Linked DNA regions of Arabidopsis thaliana. The protein of the gene in region 1 interacts with the protein of each later gene in a pairwise test. Each region holds a gene or a part of one and is shown in the gene's direction. Other genes may lie near its edges.

Region 1 (3,520 bases):
GTAAGGACCATCGTGAATTTCCACCTCAATGGTGTAGCCTCCGTTGTTGATGAGGAAGATTATGGTCTTTTGCCCACACCGTATCATCGTAGATACATCCTGTGCGGTTACCTGGAAACTACCATCTCCAATACAAGCAATGACACGCCTGTTTGGCATGGCTTGAGCATAGCCTAGAGTAGCACCCACTGACCAGCCAATTGATCCGTACTGCATTTGGAATTCGTAACCGCATCCTTCAGGGAGCTTCAGCTTCTGACAGTTGAACCAGGAATCTCCTGTCTCAGCAAGCACAGCAGACTCAGAAGAGAGCATATTCTGAATGTGTTGGAACAGTACATTAACCCTCAAAGACTCATTCGGGTTATCTCTCAAAGGCTTTCCTTCTGGGACATAGATCCTGTGATAATTCTCATAAGAAGTGTTGTTGTGCTTAATTCGTTTAGCCAACTCGCTTAGAAAATCCTTCATAAGAACACATCCAAACGCAGGTCCGTTACCGATAGTAACCCGATCAGGCTGAACGATGATTGCCTTCTCCTTCTTGAGAAGCAGAGAATACCCAACAGAACTGTAATCGTTGAAAATCGGACCTGCAAACAGATAAGCATCCGCAGATTCAACGATTTCAGCACAAAAAGCTGTACTCACAGCTCCCCAATACGTCCCTATAAAATGCTTGTGATGCTCAGGTACTTGTCCTTTAGCAGAAGGCATCACAGCAAGACCATAGCCAGAAGCATCAGCAAGCTCAACAAAAGCATCCGCGGCTTTCGCAACCCGCATTTTCGGCCCACCAACAAGAACTGGCTTCACAGCTTTGTTCAAGAACTCAGCAGCTGCCTCCACCGCCGCATCTAAACCAATCTGATTGCTAACCTTCATCGGAAGCATGAACGGAACAGGATGACGACTAAACGTCGGAAGAGGAATCGCCGGTAAATTACAGCTGATACTGATATAAACAGGTTTGCTTTCTTTCAAAGCAGTTGAAATCGCAGTATCGATAAGTTCATGAGCCTCTTCTAAGTTATTAATCACAGCTTGAAAACAAGTAACAGCTTGAAAACACCTAAGCTCTTGAGTGAAATCAGGTAAACCAATTGTATGATGAAGAATCCTATTGGTACCGTAATCGTTGGAGTTTGGACCACCGACGATGCAAATCAGAGGCAGATTCTCACTGTAAGCACCGGCGATCGCATTCAGAACACTCAATCCACCGACGGTGAACGTAACGACGCACGCACCAACACCGCGAGATCTAGCGTAACCGTCAGCAGCGTATCCGGCGTTAAGCTCGTTGCAGCAACCGATCAGCTTGAGGTTTGGTTCGGCGATTAGGTGATCGAGAAGCGTCAGGTTGAAATCACCAGGAACGGAGAAGACATCGGTGACGCCGATTTCGACTAACCGTCTTGCTAGGTAACGGCCAAGAGTCGCGTCGCAGGGGCTGACGGTGGTGGAGTGAAGTGGACTTGTGTTTTGAACGGTGGAGACTCCGCCGTTTGGAGGACCGCCGATATCGTGGTTGGTCGGGTTACACGCGTCGATAGATCCGATCTTAGTGTCCATAGTGGTAACGTTCGTTTCAGAATTTTCGAACAATAGAGCTATGAGAAAATTGGAGAGAGCTCGAGGTAAAAGTACAGTTTGAAATATGAGATTAGTGGAAGATACTTAATTATAGACGTAAAACAACGGTGGCTAAAGTAATCAAACGGTGGTATGAAATAGGCGGCTAATAAGATATTTTTAGCCGCAGATATTTATGTGTCTCTGAGATTGACACGTGTCCTTATATAGTTGGATATTGGAGAACAAGTTAGAAAGTTCACGTTGAGAATAGTTGTGAGTCCGCAGAGAATAATTGCTCTCATGCGCAGCCCACAAGGGCATCATAGGACCCGATTGGATATAGGATCCGACCCGGTTCGTGTCAATACCACGTGACTCAAAAAGAAACTCCCGCTCTTGGCGACTTTTCGAAACCCTAAAGAGACTCGTATTTCCCCCCTAACGCCGATTTTCCCGCCGCTCTCACTCAATTACAAAAATCCGTAGATCCCCAATCTCCAATCACATATCTCCCACAATCTCTTTCTCGCTCTCTCGATCATCAGATTCTTCAATCTCTTTCACCAAGCTTAACCAAATCGTTACCATGAAGGATATCTCTAAATCTCCGGCGAGAAGAAGCGACGGATTCCACCGCTACTTAAAACCAGGAGCGCTTGCTCAGATCCGAAACTCGAGAATCAACGCTAGATCTACTACATCTCTCGTATCTCGCTCCTCCCTCTCGCAGCTAGTAGATCCGATTTCACCATCTGAGAACTCGGTTGATGAAGCAGCAGCGGCTTCGCGGAATCTGACGATAGATCAGGTACCACATCTTCTAAGAAAGATCTATGGTCCTTACAGTTATCAGAGGAAGAAATTAGCCGCTGCTAGATCTGTCTCGTCGATGATGATGATGAATATCAATCCTCCTATAAACTCAGTTCTTGTTGAACCCAGTAGTGATGTTATTGCTCATTGAGTTAAACTAGTTTCTACCAAATCTGTAATCTGATGATACAATTCGGGTAAAATGTTTAATACTATCATAAGACTCACTATATGAATCATTAAATTATCAATAAATTGTGTGTTTTCAATTGATGAGTTTATCTTTGTTAATTTAATGTTTGTGTTGATTTGATATCTTACGATTTGGATTTGACTATAGATTCCTTCACTACATATTAATGAACACTTACATGAGTATCATTTTGGGATTCTTAATGATGTATATGTAACTCTTAAGTGTTGTAACTGTTTTGAAAGATTAGCCAAACACTTAAAGATTCGAAGAGTAATGATATAAGACTACATATATTTTTCTCAAATTTGTTATCATCTTGTTAGATTGTAATTGACATAGGCTATGTTACCTCAGTCAATTCTCTGCTTTGCTTAATCTAAACATCTCAAATCTATAGGTTTTGATTATCTCTCTGTTTGTTGTGATGGGTAAAAATGTTTGCCTTCTGCTATTATCAGACGCTATTGTCTCAGACCAAATGGTTACCTATGTTTGTCGATGGGTGTTAACAGATTTCATTTGCTTGGTGGTATTACCGCATATGGAACATTGGTCTTGGTTTATTTAGTCTCATCATTCGATGTTAATAAGTTTTATCTATATGCTTTCTTTCATTTGTTCTAATGGGTAATGATGGTTATCTATATGTTGCCTTTAGCAAACGTCGCTGCCCATATGGTTGAACTTGAATCCTGATCCAACTGAACCTCTTTACCCTCTGATTATGCAATCGGTTATTAATTGATGTTGATATCCCCAAGTACATATGTATGTTATATGTAAGAGACCATTCATAACTTTCACTTTCTACCCTTCAAAGTTTTATTTAACTCTCTTCATTGTCAAATCCTTCATCTTTACTACTTTTTCAATATCTCCCCATTATGTATAAATTTAATGCATCAAGTACTACAACTATTCCACATGTGCATT
Region 2 (3,945 bases), on another chromosome or scaffold:
TGATGCAATTGGTAAGTGTTTTCAGGATTATCGTTTGTTTCCCAAACAATTTTTGTAAATTAAAAGTTTGATATCATTTGTATGAAGATGATATATCAAAAAAAAATTTTACTAATACATTACTCATTCTAAATCAATAAATTATCAGTGTCTAGTTGTCTTTTTCTGGTATATTTTTTTGTCCATGTTAGAAAAAGCGTAGTTCTAATTAGTGATTCACCAAATTCGACATAAGGCAACAAAGTGGAGTACTTATCAATAATTTTTGAAAATATAAAGTAGTAGTATCAACTAATTTGACATTTTGATAATTATCAGCTAGTCTTATCACATTAATGGATCATTAACTTTCTCCAAACTTATCATCAAAAAGGGTCCACTCCGTTTTACGATATTTAAAGGAGTATACATGGGTAGATCTCACTATCTCAGTATAGAACAAAGGACCATTACCTAGATTGATTGTTCTACGTTATGCGCCTTATGCCCTCTTGACAATAAAAGTGAATATAAAGTACTTTAGTAGAACATTGATTCTTTGATATATAATTAGCTCGGGTTTAGCAAGATAATTTAGTAGCAACCAAAAAAAAAAAAAAACACATCACAAGCAGAATTAATCAATTGTTGTTCTGCAGCGCTTAAAAGTGACTAATTCTCTTCTTCTTTTTCTATAGTAAAGATGGTTCGTATCCGTTTGTTTATTATAGAACGTGGGTTCTTCTTAGAATATTGTATTCGCAAGCCATATACTATATATCTATTTTAAATTATTATACATTATATTTTTACAAAATTAGTTGACAAAACTAATAATAATACTATACATGTAAATTTTTTTTCTTTTCTTCTTCTATATAACTCACGTTCTGCATCCAGTTTGAATATGAATAATAACATATATCAGCAGCACTATGCAAATCACAAGCCTACAAATATCTAGTAATAATGCAAGTTTATACTAAGTTTTACAATAAAAAGATGCGTAAGTAAATTAAAATTCTAAATAAAATGACCTATAGTAGTATTTTCTCAAGTAAGAGAAGACTAAATAGTACTATTTCTCATTTTTACTTATACGAAAACCTTTTAATTAAGTTACTAAAACCATAAATAAGTTAGTAACATGATAATAACATTTATCAAATAACTTTTGTTTAAACATAACCTCCACGCGCCTTAAAGGGAATGTAGGATTCGTTTTAATCCTTGTGTACCCAACTTCCACTTGACATTTTTTTTTTTTTTTTTTTTTTGTTAAATGATACGTTTTCTTTAGCTCGTATATAATAGTATCTGATAAACAAATTGACCAAATGTTATCTCTTCTGTTAATCTTATCTCATGCTTTCAAATATAAGAATTCCTTCTCTAAATTTCTTTTGTATTATCCGATTGGAGCCAAACAAAAACTGCGACGAACCCCTAGTTTTCTTTGGTAGATCTTATGTAAGGATAACCACTTACACACATAAATTTTTTTGTCGGCATTTGTGTATATGTAATAAATAGTATTAATTTACTTAAAAAAGAACATATTATTCAAATAATAATTATTATATTAATGATATAATAAAGGGGACTGTTTCTCCGCTAAATTCTCGGTGTATGTCTTTGCTTTTACTTTCCTCGTTCAATGAGAGGACCAAAAATTTATTGCAGAGTCGCACATGAATCTCAAGCTTCTCTCTCCTTTTTTTCCCATAGCACATCAGAATCGCTAAATACGACTCCTATGCAAAGAAGAAGCTACTTCTTTCTCTTGCCCTAATTAATCTACCTAACTAGGGTTTCCTCTTACCTTTCATGAGAGAGATCATTTAACATAAGTCACCTTTTTTATATCTTTTGCTTCGTCTTTAATTTAGTTCTGTTCTTGGTCTGTTTCTATATTTTGTCGGCTTGCGTAACCGATCACACCTTAATGCTTTAGCTATTGTTTCCTCAAAATCATGAGTTTTGACTTCTCGATCTGAGTTTTCTTTTTCTCTCTTTACGCTCTTCTTCACCTAGCTACCAATATATGAACGAGCAGGATCAAGAATCGAGAAATTGATTTGAGCTGGCGAATAAGCAGTGGTGGGATAGGGAATTAGTAGATGCGGCGGCGATGGAAGGCGGTTACGAGCAAGGCGGTGGAGCTTCTAGATACTTCCATAACCTCTTTAGACCGGAGATTCACCACCAACAGCTTCAACCGCAGGGCGGGATCAATCTTATCGACCAGCATCATCATCAGCACCAGCAACATCAACAACAACAACAACCGTCGGATGATTCAAGAGAATCTGACCATTCAAACAAAGATCATCATCAACAGGGTCGACCCGATTCAGACCCGAATACATCAAGCTCAGCACCGGGAAAACGTCCACGTGGACGTCCACCAGGATCTAAGAACAAAGCCAAGCCACCGATCATAGTAACTCGTGATAGCCCCAACGCGCTTAGATCTCACGTTCTTGAAGTATCTCCTGGAGCTGACATAGTTGAGAGTGTTTCCACGTACGCTAGGAGGAGAGGGAGAGGCGTCTCCGTTTTAGGAGGAAACGGCACCGTATCTAACGTCACTCTCCGTCAGCCAGTCACTCCTGGAAATGGCGGTGGTGTGTCCGGAGGAGGAGGAGTTGTGACTTTACATGGAAGGTTTGAGATTCTTTCGCTAACGGGGACTGTTTTGCCACCTCCTGCACCGCCTGGTGCCGGTGGTTTGTCTATATTTTTAGCCGGAGGGCAAGGTCAGGTGGTCGGAGGAAGCGTTGTGGCTCCCCTTATTGCATCAGCTCCGGTTATACTAATGGCGGCTTCGTTCTCAAATGCGGTTTTCGAGAGACTACCGATTGAGGAGGAGGAAGAAGAAGGTGGTGGTGGCGGAGGAGGAGGAGGAGGAGGGCCACCGCAGATGCAACAAGCTCCATCAGCATCTCCGCCGTCTGGAGTGACCGGTCAGGGACAGTTAGGAGGTAATGTGGGTGGTTATGGGTTTTCTGGTGATCCTCATTTGCTTGGATGGGGAGCTGGAACACCTTCAAGACCACCTTTTTAATTGAATTTTAATGTCCGGAAATTTATGTGTTTTTATCATCTTGTGGAGTCGTCTTTCCTTTGGGATATTTGGTGTTTAATGTTTAGTTGATATGCATATTTTGGTTTCTCGTGTTTATTTCTTTTCTTCTCATATCTTCGGTAGATGTTACATGTTAGAGAAATGCATGTGTCTCGTTATGTTAGAAAATTCCTTTCCATATATGGCTTTCTTTTATTCATAGCTAGGGTTTCGTGTTGTACCCTATAACTATTATTATAATTAGCTCGATTTGATAGATATATAGGTCTAGACTATTCAATAATGAGTTCGTTTGTTCTTTTAAGAATTTTGAGCTTCACGGCGTATTCTTGATGAAATATTATGTGGGCACATCTCAGGCGCTCATTTGAATATTTTTACAATACGTCAATACGTTACCTTAATCATAGTATAATATAGTTCTTTCAACTTTTTAACAACCTCAATGTAGTATTCATTATAAGGTTAGAAAATTATTATACATATTGATCAATATATACGTTTTGTGCATCTAAATTCATTATTCGTACCATTTGAGTACTTGTAGCGTCTTTTAGCCGAGTATACCTTTTAAGATCACAACTTCTGTGTCATATCTATCTATCTATACGGTGTTATTGTGTTAAGAGTACTGTCATATATACCCATCTATATATAAGGTGTTAAGAATATGCTTACATATTGATCAAAACGTGCATCGTTCTAAATTTTGTAGTTAACCACTTGCCTGATTAGAACGTCTTTTTAGCCGTTTGTACTTACAGTTGAAAATTCCATTGATTGGTGTAATTGGCTATTTAATTACGACAGGGCCGTCTAAGCGATCTCGAGTCTTACCATCTAGGAAAACAACATGGGCAATTTTTAAACTATTTAGC

Evidence for each region.
Region 2: the proteins of AT5G54970 (region 1) and ESC interact in a two-hybrid assay, tested with the Arabidopsis thaliana proteins (one large-scale study listed by BioGRID).

The regions. Positions count from the first base shown.
Region 1 is NC_003076.8:22,311,107-22,314,626, forward strand, and holds AT5G54970 (uncharacterized protein), read left to right. Parts: upstream 1-1,869; 5' UTR 1,870-2,164; coding exon 2,165-2,542; 3' UTR 2,543-3,013; downstream 3,014-3,520. Other genes in the region: PDC2 (pyruvate decarboxylase-2), read right to left, coding at 1-1,575.
Region 2 is NC_003070.9:7,270,914-7,274,858, forward strand, and holds ESC (Putative AT-hook DNA-binding family protein), read left to right. Parts: upstream 1-1,642; 5' UTR 1,643-2,110; coding exon 2,111-3,046; 3' UTR 3,047-3,159; downstream 3,160-3,945.